Macaca fascicularis: one gene and its partners. The protein of the gene in region 4 purifies or fractionates together with the protein of the main gene of each other region. This does not show direct contact. Links are inferred from orthologs where the notes say so. Each region holds a gene or a part of one and is shown on either strand. Other genes may lie near its edges.

What was found.
Region 1: the proteins of MTA1 (region 4) and HIC1 purify together in Homo sapiens (affinity purification with western blotting; 3 studies listed by BioGRID). This does not show direct contact. The link is inferred for Macaca fascicularis from reciprocal best matches to the Homo sapiens genes MTA1 and HIC1.
Region 2: the proteins of MTA1 (region 4) and CHD3 purify together in Homo sapiens (affinity purification with western blotting; 7 studies listed by BioGRID and IntAct, with this or other methods). This does not show direct contact. The link is inferred for Macaca fascicularis from reciprocal best matches to the Homo sapiens genes MTA1 and CHD3.
Region 3: the proteins of MTA1 (region 4) and DNMT1 purify together in Homo sapiens (affinity purification with western blotting; 4 studies listed by BioGRID and IntAct, with this or other methods). This does not show direct contact. The link is inferred for Macaca fascicularis from reciprocal best matches to the Homo sapiens genes MTA1 and DNMT1.
Region 5: the proteins of MTA1 (region 4) and BCL11A purify together in Homo sapiens (affinity purification with mass spectrometry; 4 studies listed by BioGRID and IntAct, counting the BioPlex papers as one, with this or other methods). This does not show direct contact. The link is inferred for Macaca fascicularis from reciprocal best matches to the Homo sapiens genes MTA1 and BCL11A.
Region 6: the proteins of MTA1 (region 4) and SIN3A purify together in Homo sapiens (affinity purification with mass spectrometry; 3 studies listed by BioGRID, with this or other methods). This does not show direct contact. The link is inferred for Macaca fascicularis from reciprocal best matches to the Homo sapiens genes MTA1 and SIN3A.

Annotation. Positions count from the first base shown.
Region 1 is NC_088390.1:2,178,000-2,182,927, reverse strand, and holds the start of HIC1 (hypermethylated in cancer 1 protein), read right to left. Parts: upstream 3,518-4,928; 5' UTR 3,293-3,517; coding exon 3,256-3,292; intron 2,932-3,255; coding exon 767-2,931; 3' UTR 1-766. UniProt on the Homo sapiens protein: Transcriptional repressor. Recognizes and binds to the consensus sequence '5-[CG]NG[CG]GGGCA[CA]CC-3'. May act as a tumor suppressor. Involved in development of head, face, limbs and ventral body wall.
Region 2 is NC_088390.1:7,968,954-7,973,415, forward strand, and holds part of CHD3 (chromodomain-helicase-DNA-binding protein 3), read left to right. Parts: coding exon 1-25; intron 26-145; coding exon 146-287; intron 288-535; coding exon 536-667; intron 668-1,874; coding exon 1,875-1,992; intron 1,993-2,201; coding exon 2,202-2,326; intron 2,327-2,531; coding exon 2,532-2,763; intron 2,764-3,063; coding exon 3,064-3,230; intron 3,231-3,679; coding exon 3,680-3,857; intron 3,858-4,338; coding exon 4,339-4,404; intron 4,405-4,462.
Region 3 is NC_088393.1:10,739,443-10,744,481, reverse strand, and holds the start of DNMT1 (DNA (cytosine-5)-methyltransferase 1), read left to right. Parts: upstream 1-1,561; 5' UTR 1,562-1,585; coding exon 1,586-2,085; intron 2,086-5,039. UniProt on the Homo sapiens protein: Methylates CpG residues. Preferentially methylates hemimethylated DNA. Associates with DNA replication sites in S phase maintaining the methylation pattern in the newly synthesized strand, that is essential for epigenetic inheritance.
Region 4 is NC_088381.1:173,602,677-173,607,912, forward strand, and holds the start of MTA1 (metastasis-associated protein MTA1), read left to right. Parts: upstream 1-2,010; 5' UTR 2,011-2,224; coding exon 2,225-2,285; intron 2,286-2,432; exon of another isoform or gene 2,433-2,634; intron 2,635-2,695; exon of another isoform or gene 2,696-2,899; coding exon of another isoform or gene 2,900-2,927; intron 2,928-5,236. UniProt on the Homo sapiens protein: Transcriptional coregulator which can act as both a transcriptional corepressor and coactivator. Acts as a component of the histone deacetylase NuRD complex which participates in the remodeling of chromatin.
Region 5 is NC_088387.1:61,424,948-61,430,028, forward strand, and holds the start of BCL11A (B-cell lymphoma/leukemia 11A), read left to right. Parts: upstream 1-1,868; 5' UTR 1,869-2,081; intron 2,082-2,304; exon of another isoform or gene 2,305-2,556; coding exon of another isoform or gene 2,557-2,632; 5' UTR 2,633-2,670; coding exon of another isoform or gene 2,671-2,699; coding exon 2,700-2,754; intron 2,755-3,258; exon of another isoform or gene 3,259-3,475; intron 3,476-5,081. UniProt on the Homo sapiens protein: Transcription factor. Associated with the BAF SWI/SNF chromatin remodeling complex. Binds to the 5'-TGACCA-3' sequence motif in regulatory regions of target genes, including a distal promoter of the HBG1 hemoglobin subunit gamma-1 gene.
Region 6 is NC_088381.1:52,631,311-52,635,772, reverse strand, and holds part of SIN3A (paired amphipathic helix protein Sin3a), read left to right. Parts: intron 1-903; coding exon 904-1,155; intron 1,156-2,361; coding exon 2,362-2,514; intron 2,515-2,658; coding exon 2,659-2,814; intron 2,815-4,462. UniProt on the Homo sapiens protein: Acts as a transcriptional repressor. Corepressor for REST. Interacts with MXI1 to repress MYC responsive genes and antagonize MYC oncogenic activities. Also interacts with MXD1-MAX heterodimers to repress transcription by tethering SIN3A to DNA.

The DNA of each region.
Region 1 (4,928 bases), on a different chromosome or scaffold from region 4:
CGAAGAGGAGGGAGCTAAAGAGACCGCGTTCCAGCCCAGCCCAACCTGGGCTCGGGATGGCGGGGCCGCCGGGGCGCATGCAATAAATATGGTCCGGGGCCCCAGGGAAGGGAAGGGAAGGGGGCACCGCGGGAGTGGGAGACCTGGCAGGCCAGGGCTCTTCGCCCTCTTGACTCCAGAACTCCCCGCCCTTGGTGGTTGAGGAAGGAAGGGTTGGCCCTGGGGCTAGTGCCACTTGTGCAAAATGAGGAACTTCACATTATCAGTCCCGGGGTGGGTGGGAGTGGGGGTGCGGGGGGCCCTCCGGCCGGCTCAGTCCCCTCCCCACTCCCCAACTCTGCCCGATGCTCCGACCCCAGCGGGGAGATTCACAGTGAGAATGGGTGTGGTCGCAAGGGCCGGAGGTAGGGCTAGGAGCGCCCCGACAGTGACACCCCTCCCCGCCTAAGAGCAGCGCGGAGCCGGGGGAGGGGGCCGACGAACCACAGGAAGAGGCGGGGAGGGGCCTGGGGTCTCCTTTGGTCAAAGCTGATATCAAAAATATAAATTTCCCTTACCCCGTCCCACCCCCGTCCCGGGGTTTTCCCCGGACCCCCGAGCTAAGGCACGAAGCAGTGAGGCCAGGTGAGGCCGCCGAGAGGTGGAGCCGCCACCGCGGCGACGCTGCAGTTGTCCCGGGCACGGCTGGCCTGCGCCGCCCCCAGCGCTCCCTGGGGTGCGGGCCAGGGCCGCGCAGCAGCGACAGAGCGGGCTGGCGAGGGGCGCTCTAGGTGGGAGAGAAACGGTCGATGGTCCGGCCGTCGGGCCCGGCCGCCAGGTGAGCGCCCTGGCTCAGCACCTCGGCGGCCTTGTCGGGGCTGAGGCCCAGCTCGGCCGTGAACTTGGCCAGCGGGTAGAGGCTCTCCAGCGCCACCTTGGGGTCGTGCAGGAAGTGCGTGGTCTGCGCCAGCAGCTCGGCCGCGGCCGCCTTGTCCTGCTGCTTTAGGCTCAGCTGCTCGGCCGTGAGGCGGGCCACAGCAAAGACGCCCTCGGGGAAGTCGAGCTTGCCCTTGCCGTCGGGGCCGGGGACGCCGGGGAGCCCCCCCAAGCCCGCCAGCGCCCCGGCCGCGCCGGCCGCGCCCCCCACGGCGTGCATCTTCATGTGGCTGATGAGGTTGCGTTGCTGTGCGAACTTGCCGCCGCACACCTGACACTCGTAGGGCTTCTCGCCCGAGTGGATGCGCATGTGCTCGGTGAGGCGGTACTGGCGCGTGAACCGCATGCCGCACGCGTCGCACGCGAAGGGCTTGAGGCCCAGGTGACTGCGCATGTGGCGCGTCATGGTCCCACGCTGCGTGAACTTCTTCCCGCAGATGGTGCAGGGGTAGGGCCGGGTCAGCCAGTGCGTCTTCTCGTGCTGCCGCAGCGTGGCCGGGTCCTTGTAGCTCTTGTCGCACGACGCGCAGCGGTAGGGCCGCAGCAGCTCTCCCAGGCCACCCGGTGTCCCGGCCACCTTGTCCCCGCCGCCTCCAAAAGGGGGCCCTAGGCCGGCAGCCCCAGCGGCCACTTCGGCCGCCTCGGCCCTGCCGTACAGTGCTTCCTCCTCCTCCACGTGAGCCTCCACGTGCGCGTTCAGCTGCTCAGAGCTGGGGAAGCCCTTGCCGCACGGGATGCACACGTACAGGTTGTCACCGAAGCTCTCGGGTTCGCCATAGGCCAGGTGCGGGCATGGGTAGCCCTCGAGGTGGCCGCCGGGCGGGCTGGGGTCCTCGCTGCTGCCGGTCTCCTCGCTGCTGCTCTTGTAGTCGTCGCCGTCGCCGCCCGCGCCGGGCCCGTCCAGGCTGCCAGGGTAGCGCGGCGGCGGCGCCAGGCCGAGCGGGGGCCCCCCGGGCGAGATGGCCGCGTCCCCACCACGCTCTTCGCAGCGCTCGCTGGGGGAGCCGCGCTCCCGGCCCAGCTCGTCGCCATAGCTACCCAGGCCCGGCTCGTGCTTCATCCAGCGATAGAGGAGACTAGGCCCGTCGGGGCGGCCGGGGGGCTCGGGTCCCGGGCTGCCGCTGCCGCCGCGAAACGGGTCGGAAGGCGGTGCGGCCTCCTCCAGCTTCTGGAAGGGCAGCGGCGGCAGGGACGGCAGGGCGAGCGGCGGCTCCTTGTAGGCGGCGGGGCCGGCGCTGGGAGGGCTGTCCGGGCGCGGGGGCAGCTCGCGCTCAGCCAGCGGCCGCTCTGGCGCCGCGGAGCCCGGGGGGCTCTTCTTGGACAGGTCCAGGCCACAGAGCGGGGAGCAGCGGCGCTCGGAGGCACAGAGTGCGGCGGCCGGGCCGGGTCCCGAGGCGTACAGCTCGGCGCAGTGCGTGTTGACCCCGGCCTCGGGGCCCGAGGGCGGCTCCGCGGCAGACGGCGGCGGAGGCCCGGCCGGGGACGGGTAGCAGGCCTGGATGACCGGCGTGGCGGCCCGCAGGCCCCGTCCCGGCCGACCGTAGGGCGCGTAGCCGCCGCCGCCGCCGCCGCCGCCCCGCAGGTGGCAGTACTTGCCGTGGCGCTTGAGGCGCTTCTTGCACAGCGCCACGAGGTCGGGGATCTGCAGGTAGCTGGCGGCGGCCAGCACGGCGCCCAGGCTCGGCTCAGCCCCCGGGGCCACGGCCGCGGCCGCAGCCGCCTCTGCGCCGTCAGCCAGGCGGCCGGTGTAGATGAAGTCCAGCACCAGGCGGAACACGGCCGGGCTCACCATGTCATGGTCCAGGTTGAGCAGGTTGTCATGCACCACCAGGGACTTGAGGTAGGCGCTGCTGGCCGCCAGCACGTTCTTGTGCGCGCGGAAGAGGGCGTTCTGCACCACGATGATCACGTCGCACAAGAAGCCCTTGGTGCGCTGGTTGTTGAGCTGCAGCAGCAGCTGCCTGGAGTGGCCGGGCGCCTCCATCGTGTCCAGCATCGTCTGCCCAGCACACTCTCCTGCGGGGACACACACCGGCCGGGTGAGAGCCGTGCGGCGCCCTGGCCGCCTGCCCCCTGCCCGGCACTTCTCCCCCTCCAGTTCCCCTTCCTCAGCTGAGCGGGGGCATCAGCCCTGCGGCCTGGGCACCGGCGAAGGACCGGCCGCCCTCTGGAGTGGGAGCCCAGGCCGGCCCGCCCGGACCAGGAGAAGGAGCGGGAGGTGAGCGACCGCCGGTGGAGGGGAGGCCAGGCCGGCCTGCATGCCCCAGGGCACCTGGCTGGGTGCTGGGGCTTCCGAGGAGAAGACTGTTCAGGCGAAGTGACCCTTTGGGAGACAGTTACCCGATTTAAGTAAAATGTCCGCTTCAGGAAAAGTCATTCAGGGCGGAAAAGTTTGCCCAAGTAGGGAGAAAGGGAGCCGAGGAACCAGCGCCTCCCGCCTCGGGAGAAGTTGCCCCAGTTGGGGGAAGTGATTCGGAGGAGGGGAGCGCGGTGCCCGCCCTGGCGCCGCCCTGGCCGGGGGCTGTCAACCCTTGGTCGGGGCCCGGGCGGCGGCCGCGCGGGGAGCGGAGGCAGCGGCTGCCGTGGCGGGCAGAGCGCGAAGGCCGGGCCCGGCGCGGGGAGGGCGTTATATCGGGGCAGGAGGCTGAGGCAGGAAGCAGGTGGGGGGGAGGGGGGAGCCACGCAGCTCCCAGGGGAGGGAGGGGGCAGCGCCCCGGGCGGGCACGGCGCACAGCCGGCTGCGGCCCTGACCCGGGCCTGCGCCCCACCCGCGTCCCGGCCTCGGCCTGGGCCCTACACGCGCGGGCCCGGCGCCTCCCTCCGCGGCTCCCCCGGCCCCTTCTCCCCCGGAACTCCGCCGCCCCAAACTTGGGGAAAAGTTTTCCAACTGCAGACAGGGCGGGAGGAGTGCGCCGGCCCCAGGCCCTCGGCTCGCAGCTCTTCCTCGCGGCCCCCAAATCCGGCGGCAGAGCCCGGAGCCGAGCCCTGAGCTCCCCTGCCCGCTGCTCGCCCGCCCGACCCCGTTCCCCTCCTGGCCCGCGGGGCCCCGCGGCCCGTTACCTGCGGCCCCGGAGGGCCGGGCTCCCCTCCCCGCGGCGGTGGCAGCCCTTAGCCGATGCCCCACCCGCCGCTGCCAGGCCCCGAGCTGTGCCAGGGCAGCGCCCCTGCCAGCCCCGCCCGCCAGCTCCCCTTCCCTTCCCTTCCCCTCGCCTCTCCAGCCCATGTGCGGGCACAGCCGGCCCCGGGCCGCTGACCCCGCCGTGAACCCGGCGCGGAGCCGCGGCCCGGCGGTCCCGAGTCCGACAGGGACGACACCCGGAGCCCTGAACGCCAGCCGCCAGCCGCGATGGGGCACCCGCGCCAGAGGATGCGCCCGAGGCGGCCGACGCACGAGGACCGGGCTGTCTCGGGCCCCCGTCCCTCCCGGTCCCCGGCTCGAGGACCCACCTGGGGGGCATGTCGAAAGCCCCGGGCCCGGCTGCCGGCGGATCCAGGGGGGATGTGGCTGCGCTGCCCTCCGCCCGCCGGGCCCCCGGTCGGTCTGTCCTGCTGGTCCGTCCTCCCCGCGTCCTGGTCGCGTCTCAGCCCCGCCGCGCTTTCCGCACACTCTTATCTGGAGCGGCCCGGGCCGGCGGGCGCTGCTGCGGCTATAGCGCCACCTCGCGGGCGCGCGGGGCTCTGCGGGGCAGGCGCTGCCTTCCTCCCGCGCACCTGAGCTGGAGGCGCACAGATGCTGAGCCGGCGGGGAGGGGCCCGGGCCCACCCCATCCGCAGGTTCGCCCTCCCACCTGTGCCCACCAGGGACCCCGACCCCGCACAAGCGAGCCCCGGAAACCCTGGGGCTTTGAGCTGAGCGCTCCCGTTCACGTATTTCTAGGCTCACAGCCCCAGTTCGGAAAAGTCCTGCCCGCAAACACCGGACTCGGGTGGTGGGGGAGAGGTTATCCTGGGCAGGAGTAGCCAGGCTCTCCTGGAACTCTCCGTAGACATTACTGTACACAGCACTGTCCACT
Region 2 (4,462 bases), on a different chromosome or scaffold from region 4:
GGGTGGAGCTAAGCCCCATGCAGAAGTAAGATGCAAGACAAGCTGCCTGCAGTAGGGGTTGGGGATTGATGGGAGCATTCCAAGTGCAATATCATAATTGCTTCTTTTTTTTATGTTTCTTTTACACCCCTTTCCTGGCCTTTAGGAAATACTACAAGTACATCCTGACTCGAAATTTTGAGGCCTTGAATTCACGAGGTGGTGGGAACCAGGTGTCGCTGCTTAATATCATGATGGATCTTAAGAAGTGCTGCAACCATCCATACCTTTTTCCCGTGGCTGCTATGGTAGATACACAGAGCAGGAGCTGATCGAATGTCCGCTCTCAGAAAACATGGGTGGGGAGTAGTGGGGAGGTGGGTATTGAGCCACAAGGGTGGAGTGCGCTGGAAGGCCAGGGACTGGGTCTCTGAGAGCAGTAGGAATTGGGAATGTGTGGAAGCTGGATCTGGGCATCTGGCCTTCTAGGCATGGTAAGAATATGGGGAGATGTTTCCAACTGACCCTGTCCTCCTCCTCTCTCCTCCCTTTTCAGGAGTCCCCCAAACTCCCCAGTGGGGCTTATGAGGGTGGGGCACTTATTAAGTCATCTGGGAAGCTCATGCTGCTCCAGAAGATGCTGCGAAAGCTGAAGGAGCAAGGACACCGAGTACTCATCTTCTCGCAGGTGACCTGTGCCCTTAGCTGTCTACATCTGCTTCCTCTTCCCTCTCCTCGTCCTCCACACTTTAATTTCTTACCGTCTTCCTGTGGCTGCTCCAGTGTGACAAATGAGGAGATTCCTCCTGTAAGAGTTTCTTTTTTTTTTTTTTTTTTTTTGAGACAGAGTTTCTCTCTTGTTCCCTGACTGGAGTGCAGGGCCGTGATCTGGGCTCACTGCAACCTCTGCTTCCTGGGTTCAAGTGATTCTCCTGCCTCAGTCTACCGAGTAGCTGGGATTACAGGTGCCCACCTCCATGCCTGGCTAATTTTTTGTATTTTTAGTAGAGACGAGGTTTCACCATGTTGGTCAGGATGGTCTCGATCTCCTGACCTCAGGTGATCTGCCCACCTCGGTCTCCCAAAGTGCTGGGATTACTGTATAGCAAGTTTATTCTTGGCCTCTGATGCCTGTTCTTAAGGTTATTGGAAGTTGAAGTCCAGCTTTAGTTCCTTTTCAGCTGCATGGGGGAAGGGTGAGGGTGAGCCTCCTTAGAGATTGGTATTATTTCTTCATCTTATTGGCAGGTGAGGGTGAAGGCACAGACCCTCTGGAAATGTGATGAAAACTCTGGGTCCACTCTCCAGACAACTGTACATACAATGACACAAATTTGTATGGATTTTCAGGGGGTTCCTAGATTTCCCTGAAACCTTTTCATGGGTCGCAGAGAACCTCTGCCTTAGGAGAAACAATCTTAAATCAAGAGAGTGTGACAAGAGGGCCAGACATGGTAGCTCACACCTGTTATCCCAGCACTTTGGGAGGCTGAGGCAGGAGGATCACTTGAGGTCAGGAGTTTGAGACCTGGCCAACATGGTGAAACCCCGTCTCTACTAAAAATACAAAAATTAGTTGGGCGTGGTGGCGCACACCTGTAGTCCCAGCTACTAGGGACTCTGAGGTAGTAGGATCACTTGAACCCGGGAGTGGAGGTTGCAGTGAGCTGAGATGGCACCACTGCACTCCAGCTTGGGCAATAGAATGAGACTCCATCTCAAAAATAAAAATAAAAAAGAGAGTGTGATAAGAATGTGGAATAAAGAGGAGCTTAAGACAGGGCAGGGGTTCCGGTGTAAGGATCAGGGTTGAGTTTGTATAAAGGAGTAGTTAGAATAAGCAAGCTATCCCACCACCTCATTATTCCAGACTCCATCCTTTTCTCTTGCTCTAGATGACCAAAATGTTAGACTTGCTTGAGGACTTCTTAGACTACGAAGGCTACAAGTATGAACGCATCGATGGTGGCATCACTGGTGCCCTGAGGCAGGAGGCCATCGATCGGTTTAATGGTGAGGGAGATACACTGGTCCCTGGTGGGTGTGGGAGGCCTGAGAAACCTGTGATAGGTCTCTGGGATGGGAGGGGGACTGGCTTGGGGGACATTGGAAACTTAGGCTTTGAGTTGGGGGCATGGTTGTTTGTCATCAGAGAACGTCTAGGAGCAGGTGGACAGACCTACTGGGTACAAGAAAAACCTGATCCAACTCTCACCTCCTAGCTCCTGGAGCCCAACAATTCTGCTTCCTCCTGTCCACCCGAGCTGGGGGCCTGGGCATCAATCTGGCCACTGCTGACACTGTCATCATCTTTGATTCTGACTGGAACCCCCATAATGACATCCAGGTGGGAACTCGTATCCTGGAACGCCTGCACCATTTAGCAAGGAGATGTGGGTTCATGGAGGAGGGTGTCATGTTCCGGGGTCAGAAATAAGTCGCTTCTAGGAGGAGAGAAGACCCTTCTTCAGCAGCCTTCTTTCCTGAGCATGTGGGCAGCTTCTCCCCGGCCACTCCCCTGGCCCACCCGCCACTTTCTCTTGCCCCTGCAGGCCTTTAGCCGGGCTCATCGGATTGGCCAGGCCAACAAAGTGATGATTTACCGGTTTGTGACTCGTGCGTCAGTGGAAGAGCGAATCACACAAGTGGCCAAAAGAAAGATGATGCTGACACACCTGGTTGTGCGGCCTGGGCTGGGCTCCAAGGCAGGCTCCATGTCTAAGCAGGAGCTTGACGACATTCTCAAATTTGGCACTGAAGAGCTGTTCAAGGATGAAAACGAGGGTGAGAACCTTTTCTGCAGCTCCGTGAAAGCAGGTCCCTGCTCTCCCCCTGCGGAGGGAAAAACAACTCTTCTCTGTAGCCTTTGAAGGAAGGAGAGCCTTCTTTTAGTGGCTCTTGGAGGAAGGTTGACCTCTTTCTTTGCCTGTAGGGTTAAAACAAACAAAACATAAACCTTTCAACATTGGCTCCCAGGGAAAGAGCCTTCTCCAGGGCTTCTGTGAAAAGGATGCAGAGTAGAAGCTTTCCCATCAGCCTTTCTAAACTTTGGAACCCAAAGTTCCCTGTTTTCCCTCTCACCAGGGGAGAACAAGGAGGAAGACAGCAGTGTGATTCATTATGACAATGAGGCCATCGCTCGGCTGTTGGACCGGAACCAGGATGCAACTGAGGACACTGACGTGCAGAACATGAATGAGTATCTCAGCTCCTTCAAAGTGGCACAGTACGTCGTGCGAGAAGAAGACAAGGTGAGAGGCTCTGGGGGCCAGACATTATCTATCCCAGGCCATCTCCAAAAGGCAGTATCCTTTACTTGGCCTTGAAATAGGAGGGTCTGTCCCCCTTAGAACAGTAGTGGACCTCAAATAACGTCTTCGTCTAATAGGTGAGACTGGACTTCAGAGAGAAACGTAGGCACAGACAGTACTGGTAAACACAGAGGGTACCTTCTGAGACAGTGCAGGAGAAACACTGTCAGAGGGATTAGAGGAGAGATTTAGAAAACATGAGGAGAGCACGCTGCAGGTAAGAGATGGCATGGAACATGCACAATGTCCAGAAAATGTATGCAGAGTCACGAAGCTCCAGGAGTGGGGAGACCAGATTGGGCTGACGCAGCAGAGTAGGGATTTCATTGCCATGGAAAGATTAGCAAAGAAGGAGACCCCCAGTGTTCATTCATTCTGCTGCCCTTCAGATTGAGGAAATTGAGCGAGAGATCATCAAGCAGGAGGAGAATGTGGACCCTGACTACTGGGAGAAGCTGCTGAGGCATCACTATGAGCAACAGCAGGAAGACTTAGCCCGGAATCTAGGCAAGGGCAAGCGGGTTCGCAAGCAAGTTAACTACAATGATGCTGCTCAGGAAGACCAAGGTGAGGACTGCCCCAGATGCAGGCAGTAAAAGTGGGGGAAGTGATGATGAGAAGGGACTTAAGGCTGGGGCTACTTAGAGAGTAAGAGAGAAGCCTAGAAGTCAGAGCCTTTCCCTGCTAAAAGGGAAAGACGTAAGGTAGAGTCATTAGGAACTACCCGGAGGCCAGGTGGGTTTGCAGGTGATTTAAACTATTTGGTGGTTGCACAGGCATCCTGTGGACACCCAGGGCCACTGCTTAGAGTAGGTTTGGCAGGAGAACCAGAGGGGCCCAGAGACTGAAGGTGGGCGGTGAATGGAGATGCTGTAGGATATGCGGCTCCCAAGTCAGACTTCAGGCAGTGACCTGGCGTTCCCAGAAGGGCCAAGGCCAGAATAAAGGTAGACAAGTCTCGGCAGGGAGGAAGCCAGCCAGAAAGGGCCCCAGCATGGGCATATCCCGAGAGACCTCCCTGACCACTGGGCCCTCTCCACCCCCACAGACAACCAGTCAGAGTACTCGGTGGGTTCAGAGGAGGAGGATGAAGACTTCGATGAACGTCCTGAAGGTGGCATCTGTGTTCCTGACTCTTACCTCTTACCATTTTATTTTTCAGTTTGCTTTAA
Region 3 (5,039 bases), on a different chromosome or scaffold from region 4:
GAGTACGCCCGTAATCCCAGCCTACTAGGGAGGCTGAGGCATGAGAATCGCTTGAACCTGGCAGGCAGAGGTTGCAGTGAGCCAAGATCTCACCACTGCACTCCAGCCGGCGTGACAGAGTGAGACAAGGTCTTACCCCGTCGCCCAGGCAGGAGTCCAGCGGCCCAATCATAGCTCACTGCAGCCTATACTGCCAGGGCTCAAGCCATCCTCCCACCTCAGCCTCCTGAGTAGGTAGGATTACAGGTGTATGTCACCATGCCCAGCGAATCTTTGTATTTTTTGTAGAGATGGGGTATCCCTATGTTGCTCAGGCTGGTCTTGCACTCCTAACCTCAAGCGATCCTCCCACCTGGGCCTCTCAAAGCACTGGGATTACAGGCATGAGCCACTGCGCCTGGCATAGTGCTTCTTAATTTATTTTTACTTTTTATTTTTATTTTTTTGAGACACGGTCTTGCTCTGTCTCCCAGGCTGGAATGCAGTGGCGCAATCATGGCTCACTATAACCTCTGCCTCACTGGTTCAAGCGATCTTCCTGCCTCAACCTCTAGAGTAGTTATACTACAGGCACACGCCACTACGCCTAGCTAATTTTTGTTTTCCTTTTTTTCTTTTAAGAGATGTGGTTTCTCTTAAACCAGGAGGCGATCCTCCTGCCCTGGCCTTCCAAAGTACTGGGATGACAGGCATAAGCCACGTGGTGCTTAAAAAGGGGAACAAAAAACCCCACACACACTGGGTATAGAAGTGGCACGGGTCTCTATACACTGTGAGATTCTTGGTACTAGCTACAAATTCTGTGCATACTCAAGATTTTCTAGAGTAGGTGCAATTACCCCGTTTTACAGACGAGGACACAGAGGCTGAGTCCTAGTGACCCATCCAAGGTCGTACAGCCAGCAAATAGATGGAGGTTGAATTGGAACTGAGGACTTTACTCAAGGGCTCTCACAAGCCCTTGGGGACTTCTTGCTGCTTTATCCCCATCACACCTGAAAGAATGAATGAATGAATGCCTCGGGCACGGTGCCCACCTCCCAGCAAACCGTGGAGCTTGGACGAGCCCACTGCTCCGCGCGGGGGTGCGTGACCGCCTCGCGCATGCGTGGTCCCTGGGCATGGCCTGCTCCGTTCCATCCTTCTGCACAGGGTATCGCCTCTTTCCTTTTGGTACATCCGCTCCCCCCTCCCCGCGCCCGGACTGGGGTGGTAGACGCCGCCTCCGCTCATCGCCCCTCCCCATCGGTTTCCGCGCGAAAAGCCGGGGCGCCTGCGCTGCCGCCGTCGCGTCTGCTGCAGCCTCCGAGATGCCGGCGCGTACCGCCCCAGCCCGGGTGCCCACACTGGCCGTCCCGGCCATCTCACTGCCCGACGATGTCCGCAGGCGGTAGGTACCGTGGGGGGAACGTGGACTCGGGGGGCCAGGCAGGGCGCTGGGTGGGGGGTCGCTTCCCCTCGGGGTGGCCAGTGGCCGCTGCTGACAGACGGGCGCGCATGCGTGGGGTGGTGCGGCGCGCAGCGGCAGTTGGCGCGGGCAGGGTGGCACTTCCGGTCGCGCGTGCCCGGGCTGTTTGGCGCCAAAATGGGCTGTGGATTCCCCCGTAGCTCCCTGGTGGCTAGAAACTGGGCGGGGTGGGGGTTCTCTTTTGATCCCCAAATACAGCAAGCTTTGGGTTCGTCTCCGGGGTCCCCTTCTCCAAGCAGCGGTGGGCCGGGCTCCTGCCTCCAGCTTGGTAGCACAGGAAGTGGGCAGCCCGCGGCCAACGGACACCCCTCGGGCACCGGCACTTCGGCCTCCACTTCCGGTGTCCGGCCCGGTCCCCGGTGGTGCTTCTCTGGTGGGGGGTCCCTCAGTGCCTTTCCCCCAAAGCTGTGCATCCCGATGGCGGCCTCCAGAGACGGACGTCACCGGTCGGGGCCCGGGCTGGGCTGGCTCATGTTTGAGAGCCCAGCCTTCCGTAGGGGGAACTCATTCTGTCACTTGGGACTGTGTGTTCCTTGCTCCTTGGGAAAGTCTGTGTTTTGGCAGGAACTTGAACCGTGCAATGCCGCGCAGGGCCCGGGAAGCGTGAAGGCTCCATGGTTGGTCTTTTCCTGTAAATCTGTGCCTGTGAGCCGTGGGCATCAGGGAAGTCTTGCTATTGAGAACTGGCTACACTTTCGTGTGTGTTTGCGTGTGTTCGTGGGTGTGTTCTTTAGTGTGTGTGTCTAATGTTGGAGGCCCTGGCTTTAGCAATTCATGCCTCTGTCCGACTTCCGTGCACAGGATCAGTGGGAGCAGTGGTCCCAGCCCCTTGTCCATGAACGCCATCTATTCATTCCTAACAACTTGTTCAAGGGAGGTGTGCATGAGGCATAGGAACCCTCACCAGGCCTGGACACTTCCAGCTGAATCTGTGAAAGCACTCTGCCATTTTTCTATTTCCTTGGGCTTGTTAACTGGCCTGGTTGGGCCTTTGGGGAGGGATGGATATTTGGTTCGACCCCCTACTTTTTTTTTGAAGGCTGGGTGCTGTGGCTTACGCCTGTAATCCCAGCAATTTGGGAGGCAGTGGCGGATGAATCTCTTGAACCAGGGGTTTGAGACCAGCCTGGGCAACATGGCAAAACCCCATCTCTACTAAAAATACAAAAATTAGCCAGGAGTAGTGCCATGTACCTGGAGTCCCAGCTACTCAAGAGACTAAGGTGGGAGTATCACTTGAGCCCCAGAGATTGAGGCTGTATATAGTGAGCCGAGATCGTGGTACTGCACTCCAGCCTGGGTGACAGAGTGAGACCCTGTCTCAAAACAAACAAACAAACAAAAACAACAACAACAACAATTTTATTTTTAGAGATGAGTCTCACTCTGTTGTCCAGGCTGGAGTGCCCTGGCACAATTATAACACACTGTAGCCTTGAACTGCTGGGCTCAAGGGATCCTCAGCCTCCTGAGTAGCTGGGACCATAGGCGACCACCACCATGCCCAACTGACTTTTAGTTTTTTCTGTATACATGAGGTTTCACCATATTGCCCAGGTTGGTCTTAAACCCCTGCCCTTAAGCAGTCCTCCTGCCTCTGTGTCCCAAAGGTTAGGGTTACAGGTATGAGCCACCATGCCTTAACTACAACTTTTTTATTTTGAGATGGAGTCTTGCTCTGTCACCCAGGCTGGAATGCAGTGGCGTGATCTCAGCTCATTGCAACCTCCACTTCCGGGGTTCAAGTGATTCTCCTGCCTCAGCCTCCTGAGTAGCTGGGATTACAGGTGCCCACCACCATGCCTGGCTAATTTTTGTGTTTTCAGTAGAGTTGGGGTTTCTCCATGTTGGCCAGGCTGGTCTCGAACTCCTGACCTCAAGTGATCCACCCGCCTCAGCCTCCCAAAGTGCTGGGATTATAGTCAAACCACTTCTTAACCAGTTAGTGGGTATATACCTTCTTGAATCATCTGTACCAGTATCCTCCCAAGATAAAACTTGATTTAAAATGGAATGGAAGTGAAGTTACAAAAGTACCTGGCTTCATGATGTTAGACCCAATTCAGAGAAGTTTGGGCCCGGCCTTCCTTTTTTATTCCTTTTTTTAATTTTGTAGAGACGGAGTCTTGCCATGTTGCTCAGGCTGGTCTTCAATTCCTGGCCTCAAGCGATCCTCCTGCCTCAGCTTCCCAAAGTGTTGGGATTACAGGTGTGAGCCACTGTACCTGGCCTGCCCAGCCTTCTTGAAAACATGGCCTCCACTGGCTCGATGATCTTAAACAAGCATATGCCACCTCTATATCCATAGTCTAGGAATAATGACATGTGTTTTCAGGTGGTATTGGGTTAAATGAGAATATGCATGGCACATAAAGGTTCATATGCTAGTGGCTAACTTAGCTTGTTTTTTAAGTTTTTTCTTTTAAGACACGGGATCTCACTGTGTCACCCAGGCTGGAATGCAGTGGCATAGTCATGGCTTACTGCAGCCTCAAACCCATGAGCTCAAGCAGTCCTCTTGCCTTAGCCTCCTGAGTAGCTGGCACATGCCACCATGCCCAGCTAATCCTTAAAAAAAATTTTTAGAAGGCCGGGCTCAGTGGCTCACGCCTGTAATCCCCGCACTTTGGGAGGTCAAGATGGGTGGATCACCTGAGGTCAGGAGTTTGAGACTAGCCTGGCCAACGTGGTGAATCCCCATCTCTACTAAAAAAAAAAATTAGCCAGGTATGGTGGTGGGCACCTGTAAACCCAGCTACTCAGGAGGCTGAGGCAGGATAATCGCTTGAACCCAGGAGGCTTGAACGGAGGAGGTGGAGGTTGCAGCGAGCCGAGATTGCGCCATTGCACTCCAGCCTGGGCAACAGGAGCAAAACTCTGTCTCAAAAAAAAAAAAAAATTTTTTTTTTTAGAGATGAGGGTCTTGCTTTGTTGCCCAGGCTGGTCTTGAACTCCTGGGCTCAAGCAGTCCTCTGCTTTGGCCTCCCAAAGGGCTGATATTACAGGCGTGAGCCACTGGGCCCGGCCATTATTCCTCAAGAGTTCTTAAAAGTGGATGCTGGAGGAGTTAACTGCCAGGAAGCAGGAATTCCTGCTAAGGTCTGCTGCTTGCCAAAGCCTTTCCCTTCAACTGGGGTTGCCAATAGGCCACTGGCTTAGGGGCTCTGTTGGCCCTGTGCAAATATTTTGTTTGGCTGAATTGGAATACCATTAGGTGAGCCTTACAATCCACCATTGACCCTGGGTTCCACATTTCTTTGAACTCAGATTGCTTCACTGTAGGCATTGGAGTTTTGGAGGACTGCTTTTGACCATGTGGTAGACATTGAAGCTGCAGTTTATATGACTCACTCCACAGACTTTTTTTTTTTTTAACATTTTGAAAATATTTCATTATATGAAAAATAAACAAACATGGCATCCAACAGTACCTGAAACTTAGATTTTTTTTTTAAATTGAGGCAGGGTCTTGCTATGTGACCCAGGCTGGAGTGCAATAGCGTGATCTCAGCTCACTGCAGCCTCCGCCTCCCGGGTTTAAGGAATTCTCCTGTCCCAGCTTCCCAAGTAG
Region 4 (5,236 bases):
GCCCATTGCTGTTTTTGACTCAGTCCAGCCACAGTGAGATTTCGGTGCTTTCAGTTTCCTGGGCTCTTAAATCTTCCTCTCATCCTGCTGTTTTATCGTCTAGTATTTGAATTCCTGATTGTTGAATTCATGCTGCTATGAAGATCTGAAAGCAGTCCTGTGGAGTCCTCTTCTGTTTCTTCAGTTGTGTTTTTTTATTCATTTATTTTTTTTTTAATTTTTGTTTCTTTGAGACGGAGTCTCACTGTGCTGCCCCCAGGCTGGAGTGCAGTGGTATGGTTTCGGCTCCAGGGTTCATGCAATTCTCCTGCCTCAGCCTCCTGAGTAGCTGGGACTACAGGCACGCACCACCATACCCAGCTAATTTTTGTTGTTGTTGTTGTTGTTGTTGTAGTTTTAATAGAGATGAGGGTTCACCAAGTTGGCCAGGCTTGTCTCGAACTCCTGACCTCAGGTAATCCTTCTGCCTTGGCCTCCCAAAGTGCTGGGATTACAGGCGTGAGCCACCGCACCCGACCGGATTCTTCTTAATTCTTTGTTTTTATTGTTTGACTTACCTGAGGTCTTTGGACTTTGCCTCTGAGCTGGCTTAAGGGCAATCCACCTTTTTCACTGGTCTGGAGTGGGGAGGCAGAGTAGGGGTCGGCTGGAGGAACAGGGCTCTGTGCTGTCTTTTGAGAGTTTACTAAACGTCACTCTGCATGGTAAGGGGTGTGTCCTCTTCGCTGCGGTGTCCTGGCTTGAAGTTCAGATTGTCTCCCTGGGACACCAGACCCTGCGCCGTACTCCCTCCTAAGGACAGCTTTGACTGTCTCCCCTCCAGCAGTCAGTTCTCTCCACCCCCAACGGGAGAAGGAGCAAGGCTGGTGTCTGCAGGAGTCTCCCCTCCAGGCCAAGGCCAGGGGAGAGTGTGCATGTCACTGTCAGGATGTGTCCTGGTGGCGTGGCCGGGTTTTCAGGGTGAAGCGCCTCCGTTTCTGGGATGGCAGCGGAAGCAGGCACTACACACACAGCTTCGGGGGCTCTCCCCATGCCTCCTAGCTGCCTGGCACTTTCTGTTGTTTCTGGCTAACTTTCTGACCATGCCAGGAGTTGGTGGAAGGAGATCTCAGGCCGCAGCGTTGCTTTCCTGCTGAGGAGACAGAGGTAGGCCGGGGCTGTAGGACAGGGGAGGCAGCAGCCCCACCTTCTTTCTAGGGAGACACTGCCTGTCTGTCATTGCCCCTCTCCTGCACCTGGCCCCTGGCTGTCTGCTCTTCCCACCCAATCACCAGCAAGCCAGCTCCTGTTCCCTGCGGCCCGTAGGATGTGTCCTGGGACCCACAGCCCTCTCTCCCCAGAGACAGCACTGCCTTGCAGCTTCGGTTCCTGGCCCTGTGCTAACCCTGGCAGGGTTTTCCTTTCTAGTCTGCTCTGCAGCCAAGACATTGTGGCCACTGCTCTCCTCGGGACCCCCACCTGGCTTTCTCCCAGCACATGCTGTTTTCTGCCCACCTGGCTGGTGTCCTGTGTGCCGGATTCCCTATGCTCTGTCCCCAGCACCCTGACCACATCTGTCCCACCTGCCTAGATCTTGAACCGTGGGCACAGGGCTCCCTCCTGATAGCCCTGAACACTCCGCTCCATGTCCTACAGGGAGGGATGTCCCAGGTAGATGTCAGCTCCCTCCAGTCACTGACCTCCAGCATCTGAGCAGGCAGGGCCGAGACCCATGGTGCTGCTCAAACCAGCAGCCTGGAGCCCCAAGACAGCTCCTTTTCCTCACCTCCCCCAACACTGATGTTGCACCTGTCTCCAAGCCACTGTGGGACCATCTGTTTTTCTCCATCTGGGAAGCCCCCTTCCCACCTCATGCTCTTCCTGGCTGGGGCGTCTGGGTCACTGGACTCTCCTCTCGTTACACCTGTGCGCGCACGCACACACGCACACACGCACACACACACACACACACACACACACACACACAGGAGGGCATCCTGACAGGTGGTGGGGAGGGAGGGCAGCTGCCTCACTGTGGAAAGGGCACGGCCGCTCCCGGACTCCAGCCCTGTTAGGGCTGGGGAGGTCAGCAGGCGCTGGGTTCCAGCCTCAGGTGGGGTCTTCGGAGGTGGCCTTTGGGCACAGGCACCTCCTCTGTGGCCTTCTCACCAGGTCACAGTTCAGGGAGGCTTTGCCGCCTACGGAGCCTGCCCACACCAAGGCGCGCACGGTCACCGGTCCAGAGATGCCATGCGGGCTGGGCGGCGAAGGCCAAGGACACACGCTGCCTGGTGTCGGGGGCAAAGGTTAGGCCTGGAAGGGAGGTGTGGGGTGGGGACCCCGAGGCCAGGGCTGGGCCGCTGAGCTTCAGGGCCCTTGTTGGGGGTCAGGGGGGAATGCCGGAGGACCCCAGCATCAGGAGGAACCCCCTGGAGAGTTATGGCAGGACTCACCTGTGGGGCACAGGAAGAATCACCAGGGAAAGGACCCTTGTGGAGGATCCCCCTCTACCCCCAGGGCACTAGTGGAGGATCTACCAGGGGGGTCTGGTGGAATGGCCCACCGGGGAAGCGGCGCGCGGGGAGGACTCGGGGGCGCCGGGAGGAACTGTCCGGGAAGGGGCGCACGGGCCGCGGGCGGCGCGGGGTCGGTAACGGCCCGCGCGGTGGGCGGCGGCGCCCGAGGCCCCTCCCCGCCGCCCGCGGCCGCTCCTCCTCTTCCTCTCCCGCCCGCGCCGCGGCCCTCCCGTCCCTGCGCGGCCTCGGCGGCCTCGGCGGCGGCGGCGGCGGCGGCGGCAGCAGCGCGGCCCCTTTAAACGCCTGCGGCGCCCCCCGCCCCCGCCATCGCGCCTCCATTTTCCCGGCCGCCCGCGCCGAGCGCCGCGCCCGCCCCGGGCCCCTCCGCCGCCGCCGGCCCGGACATGGCCGCCAACATGTACAGGGTCGGAGGTAAGGCCGCACCGCCTTTATGCCCGGCCCCGACCCGCCCGCAGCCCCCACCCGCCGCCGCTGCCGCCTCCCCCGCCCCTCCGCCCCGCAGGCCCCGCGCCCCCCGTCCGCCCCCGCGGCCCCCGGCTCCTTCCCGAACCTCCCCCCGCAGTGCTCACCCCAACCCAAAATGGCCCCGCGGGTCGGCCCCATCGGGGGCGGGCGGGGCGCGGCGGCCCGGGGGTGGGGGGCGGCCCACCTGTTGGGGCCGAGGGGGCGGCCGCGGGGGTGGCGGAGGGGCGCGGGCGGCCGGGGACATCCGGGGGGCCGGGGCCGGGAGCCCCCCGCGGGAGCACGTGGCCTTGGGAGGCGCCGGCTGCCGGTCTGGGAGCAGGAGTTTTGGGGCTGTGGGGTCTCCCCCGGCCCGCGGCCCTGTGCTAGGACTCCGGTGCGTCCCCTCTGCGGATGGGGAGCCCCGGTGAGGGGCCGCGTTCCTCCCTAGAGCCCTCCTGCAGCCTGGCCCCGGGGCTTCCCCCCGCAGGGCTCTCTCAGGGGGTCTTCAGCAGGGAGCGAGTATCCCGAGCACGCCTCTAAGTCCCCCCAAACTTTTCCCTGCCTCCCGCTCACCTCAGCCCATTCGGGAGGCGCTTTGCTAGGGTTGGGGAGAGACCGGAGGGTCCCCTGGGCAGGGGCCCGGGGCTTCCTCTCTGGGTCAAGCCTCCTGTTGCTCGGGCCCCGCGGGCCTGCAGCTTTGGGCCTTGCCCTCCTTCGAGTGCCTGGGACTCCGTGGGGTCTTTCACAGGGAGATGGGGGGTCGTGCGCATTCCATCATTCCATCAGTGCCTCCCTCCCCGGGACTCTTGAGACCCCTCCCTGCCTGTGACCCTCTCGGCAGGTGCCCATTGCCTCTCCCACCTGCAGCCTGCGCTGCAGGAGGGAGCTGGGGTCTCTCTCGCTCTGGCCTGATCCCCATGCCCGTGACCCCGAGTGCCCAGAACACGCCGTGTCCCTCGAGCGTGGCCTCTGCTGCCTTGGACGCCGTGTGGTCTCGCCGGCCAGCCCTGTGACCTTGGGGACGGTGGGAGCCCCCTACACCCCGTCTGTGAGATGGGCGGTCAGTCTGCATCAGCAGCTCTGGGCCTCCCCTGTCCTCTCACAGAGGCAGTGGGCCTGTGCCCATCCAGCGTCAGCCCCCTCCCACAGCTTCATACAGCTTTGCCAGGTCCCTGTGTGGACACAGGTGGGCTCAGCCCACCCCACGCCTGGGGCAGCCTGGGTGTGGGGTCCCTTGAGGGAGCGACCTGTTTCTTCCTGTTCTTTCTCCCCACCTGGAGATCCCCCTTCCAGCCTGACATGAGGGCCCAGTTTCTCATCCCGGTAGAGAGGATGCCTACTGCCTGGGCTCCAGCCGGGCCCACTGCGCATGGTTTTGGGATTGGTCCCAAGAAGATTTCTCCCTGCCCCCACCCAGGCTGGGGTTGGGGAGTGGTGGCGGCTTTGGGCTCTAGGGCTGGGGACACCCCGACCCCGACTCGTGCCTTCCCAGTGGCTGCATTGCTCGGCCTTCAGGCCCGCCTGCCTGTGAACTTGGCGCCAGCCTGGCTGCCCCCCCACCGTCCCGTGCCTCGGTTTCCCCATGGTGTGGGTGAGGACCTCGTCTCTCAGTCATCCTTCTGTGCCCTGTGGCAGCTGTGCTGTGGCTGACGAAAGCCAGGACCCTGCCTTGTCCCGTCCCGGAGGTGCAGCTCCCCTGGGCCCTGCACAGGCTTGGGAGGAGCCCTGTGTGGGTCTGCACCGCCCTCCCTGAACCCTCTGTCCCTCTGTGCCTGGAGGCCCGTCCCGGGGCCTCACTGACCCACAACACTCCAGTGCTGTGAGGCTGGGTGGCCTGGACCCCCAGGCTGTGGCGGAGGTGCCCACCATGCCTGGCGGAGATGTTGCTGGTCTCTCTCTGTGATGAGGAGCATGGCAGGTTGGGTGCTGTCTGCTGGCAACACAGCCACGCGTGGGATCCAGACTGCTGCTGTGTGTGCAGTCCGTGGTCACTGTGGCCAGGTGTGCTCAGGGTTGTCAGGCCCTCCGTGTGCCCACCCCAAGGACGTCCTCTCCCTGCAGGTGAGACTGTGGGCCTCTCCCGCTCTCCTCTGACAGTCCCTATAGGAGAAGCGGCGTTTATCCCTGGCTTCTGGACCCGAACCCCGGGTTCCGGCAGGACCCCGGCAGGGCCTGTGGTTGCAGTGAGCTGGGTGTTGTAGGTTGGCTTCCTGTCTTGGTGCTCGCCCCAGGAGGTGGGTGTCTGGATTCTTGAGCCCCCAGACAAGAGAGAGGAA
Region 5 (5,081 bases), on a different chromosome or scaffold from region 4:
CCTGCTCTGAAGAACTCAGTGAAAAGGGGAAATGGTGTCACACACAAGCTACAGAGCTTAAGTTCTAGTGAATCTTCCCGCTTCTTAAACAGAATTTGAGGTCTCACCGCCCCCCGCAAACTGGAGGGAAACAACAACAAACAACAAACCACACTGAGACAATCCCAGTCCAGCCCACATCACTCTCAATGTTGAGCATCAAAACCTCCTTTTCTTCCTTAGAGGGGTCCGAAGCTCCACCGAGCTAGGCAAGCCAGTCATTTTCTAACACAGTAGACTTGAAACTTTACTAAGACGACACAGGAATAAACAGCCGCTTGCCGGTAGGGTTGCGGGATGGGTGAGCGCGCGCAAGCCGGGGACCCTCGCTTAAAACAATAAAGCCCCCCACCGGGTGGGTGAGTTTCCGGAAACGACACCCCTTAGACTGAAGAGGGGGATGAGAAGACGGGGGTTGTGGAACCGCTCCGAGGAGAGGGAAGGAGGGCTCCTCGCTCTGTAGACACACTCACACATATCCACCTGCAGCTCAGGGTCTCGCGGGCCGTGGCGACCCGCCTCCACCCTGCACCCTCCGCACCTCCCTTGGACCTGAGTTCATTCTCCTCTCCCCCCAGCCCCTTCCGGATTTGGAATCGGACCGCGATCTCCCCGGCGGCGGCGGCGGCGGCTGCAGAGTGGTGCTGGCAGGCAGGGAGGCTGGGAGGCGGGAGGCGCCGGGGGACTTTACAGGCACGTTTCTGAATAAACTTTCCAATCGCAGGGGGTGCTGTTGCTGTACATTTTACGTAAAACTGAAAGTATCCCACGCCAGAGTGAAGCCCGCTTTTTGACAGCGGCAGCACGCGCGTGTGTGTGCGTGTGTGCATTAAAGAGACAGGGTTTTATTTCCAACAGGTCTTCCCTAATTTCCAGGGAACGTCTGCAGAAAGGCGAGAGGGGGCTGCTGGCTCCCGGGTGTGCGCCTTGGCGGGCGGCGCCTGGGGAGCGCGGCGTTGACCCGGGGCGGTCATCTCACCACCGTAGCCTCCCCGCTGCTGCTGCGAGCCTGTCGCTCTCTCTCCATTCCCCATTTTCTTTTTCCCTGGGTAACAGCACAGGAACAGTTGTGCTCTGCCCGTAAGAAACATTTTCTTTCCATCCCTCTGTGCTTTTGCAGTTGCTCTGGAGTGGGAGGGGGTGTGTCCCTCCCAGGGACCCGGCTCGGGGACCTCCCGCGGCGCCGGGAGCACATTCCCAGGGACTGGGACTCCCGGGACTGCCCGCGCTTTGTCCTCGGCCGCTCAGAGAGGTGGACGCCTCGGCGCCTCTCTCGCCCAGGCCCCCGGCGCTCCCCTCCGGGGGCCAGACTCTGGCTCCTCGTTCTTTATTCCTCGTGCTCTCTTTCCGCGACCCTTAGGAGCCGGGGACTCGGCACTTCCAGTTGCATTCAGACCCAGTCGCTTGGCGGGGCGCTCAGATCCCAGATCCCTGGCTCGGCCTTGGGGGCGCCCTCGGGCCCTGGCCTGCGCCGCCTCCCTCTCCCTGGTCCCCTCTTTCCAGGCCGCCCGGGCTCCTGGAGACTCGGGCGCTGCCCTTCCGGACCTGCAACCCTCCAAACTTGGGCTAGATTCCGCGTTGCCGTGCGCTCCCTCCCGTCTCCCCTCGCCCGCTGCGGAGCTGTAACTTGGAGGCTCAGCTCTCAACTTCGGGTGATTTTTCTTTGCTGTCCTCTCCTCGGGCAAAGTTTCCCGAGCGCAGCCGCGGGCTCGGGGCTTTTACTTCGGCCCCTGGCGTCCGCACGCGGGGAGCAAGCGCGGCGGCGGCGGGGAGGGGAAGTGGGTGTGCGTACGGAGGAGGGTGTCCGGGAGCAACTCTACCTGGCTTCCCTCCGCCCGCGCTTCCCCAGCCCGGGGCTGCAGCCTCCCGGTGCACTCTCGCTCTATTTTTTCCTTTTTTGAATAATCTTTCATTTTAGGGCCCGCGTGTGTGGGGGGGAGCAGGGCGCACGTCTTGCTCCCCCCCACCCTTTCCTCCCACCCCTGCCACCCCTTTCTTCTCTCCCGGCCACGCCACCGCCGCGGCGCTCGCTGCGGCCACTGGTGAGCCTGCGGCCCCAGCGCCCCCTCCCCTCGGCCCGCCCCTCCCCCGGGGGCCGCGTCTGGCGTCCGCGGAGCCCCCCGCCCCGCACCTCCCCCGCCCCGCACTGGCCATTGGCTTGTCCTGGTCTCTTTTTCATGTCCAGCCCCTGATGTGTGTCCATTGGTGTGAGCTTCCCCTTCCCTCCTCCCCTTCTCTCCTGCTCGCCCTGCCCATGTTTTGTGTGTCTCTGTCCATCCAGACTCCTGACGTTCAAGTTCGCAGGGACGTCACGTCCGCACTTGAACTTGCAGCTCAGGGGGGCTTTTGCCATTTTTTTCATCTCTCTCTCTCTCTCTTCCTCTATCTCTCTTCTCTCTCTCTCTCTCTCCCTTTTTTTTTTTTTTTTTTTTTTTTGCTTAAAAAAAAAAGCCATGACGGCTCTCCCACAATTCATCTTCCCTGCGCCATCTTTGTATTATTTCTAATTTATTTTGGATGTCAAAAGGCACTGATGAAGATATTTTCTCTGGAGTCTCCTTCTTTCTAACCCGGCTCTCCCGATGTGAACCGAGCCGTCGTCCGCCCGCCGCCGCCGCCGCCGCCGCCGCCGCCGCCGCCCGCCCGCCCCGCAGCCCACCATGTCTCGCCGCAAGCAAGGCAAACCCCAGCACTTAAGCAAACGGGAATTCTCGCGTAAGTAACCCAATAATAGTAATAATAATTATTAATAATCACGAGAGCGCGCAGGACTAGAAGCAAAAGCGAGGGGGAGAGAGGGGTGTGTGCATGCATTTTTAAATTTTTCACGAGAAAAACCTCCGAGAGTCGAGGTAAAAGAGATTAAAGGGGGAAAAACCCTCATCCCATCTCGAACCATTGCCGTGTATGCACTTTTGAGACAGTACGCACCTTTTAATTTTATTTAATTTTACAAAAATTTGACTCCTCCTCTTTCCTCCTTTCCGCTGCTTTATTTCTCTTTTCGAAAAGGAATGCAATGATTCCACCGCCCCCCCTCCCAGTTTTGCAAAATAATGAACAATGCTAAGGATGCGAACAACTCACATGCAAACCTGGGGGTGGGAGCTGGTGGGGAAAGGGAGGTTGCTTCCCACTCACCGTAAGAAATTGGCGGGGGGGGGGGGGGGAAGTGAGTGAGTACAAGTCTAAAAAACGATTCCCGGGGAGAAAAGAGGTGAGACTGGCCTTTGGACACCAGCGCGCTCACGGTCAAGTGTGCAGCGTGAGGAAAGTAGTCATCCCCACAATAGTGAGAAAGTGGGACTGTGGAAAGGGGCCCCCGGCGCTCCTGAGTCCGCCGAGTCGGGAGAGGGGCCGCGGCGGCGGGGAGAGCCGTGGGACCGGGAAGGACAGGAGACGCGGCCGGCACTGCCGCCTTTTGTTCCGGCCCGAGGTGGGTGTTTGTCCCGCTGCCTTTTGTGCCGGCTCCTCGCGCTTGCCCTCCCGCGCCGCCGCCGCCGCCGCCGCCGCCGCCGCCGCCGCCGAAGGGCAGGAGCCAGGGCCGGGGGAGGAGGCGGCCGGGGGCACGCGGGAGAGGGAGGGAGGGAGCCGGGACTGCTGCCGCCTAGGTTGCCGCTGCCCTCCCCTCCCGACCGAACCTCAGAGGCAGCAAGGAGAAGACTGGCACATAAACAAACAAATACATAAAAATAAAATAAATAAAACAAGGCAAGAGAATGTACAATTTCTTGCCCCCAAATCGAAGCCAAACGCTCTGCCAACCCTTTTCTGTGACGGCCTTCTCTTTGACTCCCCCACCAGCCCCCCTGCAAAAATCTCACAATCTCTAATCCAGAAAAAAATTTACAATCACCCTGTTCCCCAAAACCCCTTCAGTTGCAAACTTAGGGCGCCGGCGGCACGGAGAGGGAGAGAGGAACTCCCTCCTCTTACTATTTTTTGGAAGATTTTCAAAAAAAGTGGAAGTGGATTTTGATTGGGAAAAATCTCGTGTCTGAATGTTTACAAGCACCGCGTGTGCGGGAGCCTCCTGCCAACAAACAGACAGAGGACCGAGCGCGGCGCGGCAGCCCCGGAGCAGGCGGCGGCGGCGGCCTGGCCTCGCCCGGGCCTTGCCCCACCTCGCCGCGCCCCAGCCCAGCCCCGGATCGCCCACCCGGTGCCCGCCGCCCACCCGCCAGGCACGGCGGCAGGCCACGCAGTGACTCCGCGCTAGCCTGGCCCGCGGTCCTGGTCCGCCCCCAGCACAATGCCCAGACCTCTTCTCGACCTCCCAGACTGCGAAATCGGCTGGGTGAAACTCGGCTTTGCAAAGCATTTTTATTTTGCAAAGCAACTGTAAAAGCGCGTTCTGCGCCTCCCCTCCCCTCTGCCCTGGGTACTCTCTCAGATGTCTCTTGTCCACAGCTCGGGACCGCGAGGAGGTCACCACGTGCTTTCCCTGCCCACCCCCCACCCTGCCCGGTCTGGCCACGAGTCCCCCTGCTCCCCGAGCACGGCCAGGCCAGGTGGCGGGGTTGCCGGGAAAGGGCAGGGCAGAAGTGTGTTTGAGTATGCATTTTGAGGGTGCTGGATCCTGGGACCCCGAGCACTTCACCCTTTGGGGCTTGCCCTCTTCCCCAGGCCTGGCTCGGTCTGAGGTTCTTGTGAGTCTATATAAGAGGTGGTGGTGTTGGCTGTCTCCCGCTGACTGCGCCTGAAAGGCGGGCGGTGGGCACTTAGGAAAGTTTGGCAGCAAGGGAAAGAAAGGCGTGAGGGCCCACATTCCCCCCCTACCCAATTTATGATTCTTACTTTAAATTTTTGATGCAGTTTTAAAGGACCACCTATACTTGGTTCTGTGTTTTTTTTTTTTAAAGGGGTGGTGGTGGGGGGTGCGCACAGGGAATTGAATTTTTCACTGGGCCCTGGAACTTGTCACACACTTCGGAAGCTCCCCCGCCCCGGCACGTTGCGGGGCCCTCCCTCTCCCCACCCCCTCGCATCCCTCCCTCGCCGCTCTCCCCCGCCCCCCACTCCCCCGGCCGCGCCGGATGCGG
Region 6 (4,462 bases), about 120 Mb from region 4:
TCAGAGAAAAATGCAGTAGTCACTTCACTATAACATGGTTCACATTTACACACCACTTAGATATCTATTTAAATCAACACAGCAACAATTTTCAAGGTCTTTCTCTTTACAGTTTCTGCTTATAAAACCATGAACATCCCAACAGGTGGTGACTTTGTGTAGTAGTAGTTGATAGCACAAACAGAAACCATCCTCTTATGGTCAAATTGTGCTACTGCCCACATGGTTATTTTATGAAAGTTATTTCACTTACCAGATTATATCAAGCTAAGTAGAAGATCTAATGAACAGTGATGGTGATGATGATGAAGATGGGGTGTTCTTGGTCTAGAACCACACTGTCTGACACAGTAGCCACTAGCCACATAGCACTATTCAAATTTAAATTAAAATCAGTTTTTCATTTGCACTAGCTTTCAAGTGCTCAGTAACCACATGTGGCTAGTGGCTGTATATTTAAGACAGTGCAAATAAAGGACATTTCCATCATCTCAGTTCTATAGGACAGAGTTGGCATAGAAGACTATGTGGAGCTGCTGCAACAGTTGAGGTGTCTTTTTGTTGACATCAAAAGGCTGTGTAGAATGAGATTTTTTCTATGTGTACTTGTTGAGCTACTAAGCTAAAACATTGCATATGAAAAATTCTTCACTGTAATTGTAGATGGCTCCAGTTTTAAGATTTTATTTAGAAAATGTGAGACTGAGATATTTGTATCAGCATGTTTGAAACTCTCTACAACTCCCACTGTTGCCCAGTATGATTTGTGTAGGACTAAAATGGCCTGGCCTGAGTGAGTAAATAAAGGATATACGTTGACACTTTGTTTCTCTTCAGTTTGAACTTTCCTTCTATCAACTCATCTATGCATCTGAGGAGAATAAAGACTTTTTTTCTTTTTAGCCCTCCCAACTACAAGCACATACTCCTGCCAGTCAGCAGACTCCCCCACTTCCACCGTATGCATCCCCACGTTCTCCGCCGGTCCAGCCTCACACACCAGTGACAATCTCATTGGGAACGGCCCCATCCTTGCAGAACAATCAACCTGTGGAATTTAATCATGCCATCAACTATGTTAATAAGATCAAGAACAGATTCCAGGGCCAACCAGACATCTACAAAGCATTCCTGGAGATTTTGCACACATATCAGGTAAGAAGAGTATCCATTCAGCTTGTCTTAATCAGGCCATCTAGTCAAAGAACAACTTAAGTAACCATTATTGTGTCCATTAATTCATACTGGAAATTAGCCAGTTAGAAACTACCATGCGTGTTTATAAAGCCAGTGTTTTTGTTTGTTTGTTTTTTGAGAGGGAGTCTTGCACTGTCACCCAGGCTGGAGTACAGTGGTGCGATCTCGGCTCACTGCAACCTCCGCCTCCAGGTTCAAGTGATTCTCCTGCCTTAGCCTCCCTAGTAACTGGGATTACAGGCACCTGCCACCATGCCCAGCTAATTTTTTGTATTGTTAGTAGAGATGGGATTTCACTATGTTGGCTAGGCTGGTCTCGAACTCCTGACCTTGTGATCCGCCTGCCTCGGCCTCCTAAAGTGCTGGGATTGCAGGTGTGAGCCACCACACCCATGCTATAAAGCCAGTTTTATTTGCCTGACTTGATTGCCCTGCAACATTCATTTAGGATTTTTTTTTAAGACAGAGTTTTGCTCTTTTTGCCTAGGCTGGAGTGCAGTGGTGCAATGTCGGCTCACTGCAGCCTCCACCTCCTGGGTTCAAGTGATTTGTTGTATTTTTAGTAGAGATGGGGTTTCAATATATTGGCCAGGCTGGTCTCAAACTCCTGACCTCAGGTGATCTGCCCGCCATGGCCTCCCAAAGTGCTGGGATTATAGGTGTGAGCCACTGCGCCTGGCCTCAGTCAGGATTTTTAGTCACTGTCCCATGAAATGAAACTCTGTTTTATCTGGGACAGTTAGATGGTGACTTATTTAGTCTAGTTAATCTACAGTAGGAGGAGGAGAAATTTCTAAGGTTTTATCAGTTGGTAGTGGTCCCCTGGGCATTAATATTTATTGCCCTAGGCCGGGCATGGTGTCTCACACCTGTAATCCCAGCATTTTGGGAGGCCGAGATGAGTGCACTCCAGCCTGAGCAGCAAGAGTGAAACTCCATCTCAAAAAAATTTACTACCCTAGTTTTGAAAGGAATTGTCATCCACCATCTTGCACTTTTTTCTCAACTTGAAATTTTCGTTTGTGGTCAGAACGGGTGCTGAGAACATAGACTTTCTTCTTACATGCAGCCTGAATAGATAACAGTGATTCCAGAAAGTGTGCAAAGATGAGCGACTCAAAACAGTAGCCCTTTAATGTGATCTCTTCATTTGCAATTCCTCAGAAAGAGCAGAGAAATGCCAAGGAAGCTGGAGGAAACTACACTCCAGCGTTGACAGAGCAGGAGGTGTATGCCCAGGTTGCTCGTCTCTTTAAAAACCAGGAGGATTTGTTGTCAGAGTTTGGACAATTCCTACCAGATGCCAACAGCTCCGTGGTATGTTTTTTTTTTGTAAGAGTTACACTATTTATTATTATTATCTTAGAGAAGTTGGAAAACTGTGCTCAGAAGGGGACTTTTCCTAGATGATATTTGTTTACTTTGATAAGAGTATTAATCTCTTTCATGTGTCTTAATCAGCTTTTAAGCAAAACAACTGCTGAGAAGGTTGATTCTGTGAGAAATGATCATGGAGGCACTGTCAAGAAGCCCCAACTGAACAACAAGCCGCAGAGGCCCAGCCAGAATGGCTGCCAGATCCGCAGACACCCTACAGGAACCACGCCTCCAGTTAAGGTGAGAATGGGCAGCAGCTGCTCATTTTGACACTCACAAGCAATTCTAAGGGAGAGGTACGCTAGGGGTGGTCACGTGTTCTTAAGTGCGTTAACAGTTGGGTCCTTGATATTTGGAGCAAGTTAGTATGCGTCACAGAAACTCAGTGCAAAGTTTATCTGGCTTTACAAAAGAGTATTAGAATAACATTGATTGCTTGGATTACTGTACTTTTTTGAATTCTTTATTATCTTCTTTGCAATGAGCTGCCATTTCTTTAATGTTTTGGTTGCTACTAAGAATTTCCAATACTTAAAATTTTTTTTACTTCTTTTTTTTTTGTGACAGTCTCGCTCTGTCACCCAGACTGGAGTGCAGTGGCATGATCTCGGCTCACTGCAACCTCTGCCTCCTGGGTTCAAGCCGTTCTCCTGCCTCAGCCTCCTGAGTAACTGGGACTACAGGCGTGTGCCACCACACCCAGCTAATTTTTGCATTTTTAGTAGAGATGAAGTTTCGCCATGTTGGCCAGGCTGGTCTTGAACTCCTGAGGTCAGGAGTTCCACCCGCCTTGGCCTCCCAAAGTGCTGGAATTACAGGCATGAGCCACCGTGCCTGGCCCCTTCTTATTTGATGCTTTAAATCTGCCTTGTGTTAAGAAAGAACATTCTTGAGTTTGAGAATTATTTCAGAAATAAATGATCTCTGAGGTCCTCTTGTGAGTAGAGTGCGTGTGCTTTTTGAGGTCTCTTTGGTCTAGAACCCTGTCCTGCTCAGAGTTCTTTGTTGGGTTACCAGATCTTATCTGTATCATCTAATCTCCAAGGCAGGACCTTTGGGCTGTAGCATAGGGAAGTCTTAAACTCCTATTAGTAATCCATTACATGATGTTTTTTATTACATTTAACACTGACGGTCCGTCTGCAGAAAGCACAGCTTGCTCCCTTCTTTGATGTAACACAGCTATGATAGGGAGAGGGCTAGTTATATGTATTGAATGTTGAATTCTTCAGTGAATTTCAAAGCAATATGTAATATGGAAGAGATAGATGTGTCTGCAGAATTAAATAATGACAAAAGTTTCTAATAGTAAGAGGTGTTTCTATCCTCTAATAGTAAGAGGTGACTGATAAATAGTAAGTGACTGACTACAAGGTCTCACATACTAGGTGTTACTGACACTTTTGAAGTATCCTTTTTCATTAGTGTTTGTCATGGTTTCTTTTGAAATCAAGTTGAACATAATAATGGTTTCTATTTCTTCACTTCAGTAAAGAGAATTAGTTACATGGGTAGCAAGAATCAGCTCAGTAGATACACTCCATGCTTGGATTTACGTCCTCCCACTCTTGATTACCTACAGGTGGAAAGAATATAGTGGGGGCTTAACAATTCTCCACCTACTTTCTGCATAGGCAGTGTAAGCAGAGGCTGCGGCTCTTAAGAAAGTATACTCTGAGATAGCCAAGGTAAATGTGCTACTTCTCACCAAGTTTGTGCATTTCTTCGTAGAGAGTAAGTGGTGGATTTCAAAAGTAACTTCTTGCTTGACAGGATTATATCATGGCCTGTTGGTTCCCTTTAAAAGAACAATATTAAATTAGTCTGAGGGGATATTTCTGGCAAGATAGTTATTTCTTCTATTAGAAAAATTATGCTTTTTTTTTTG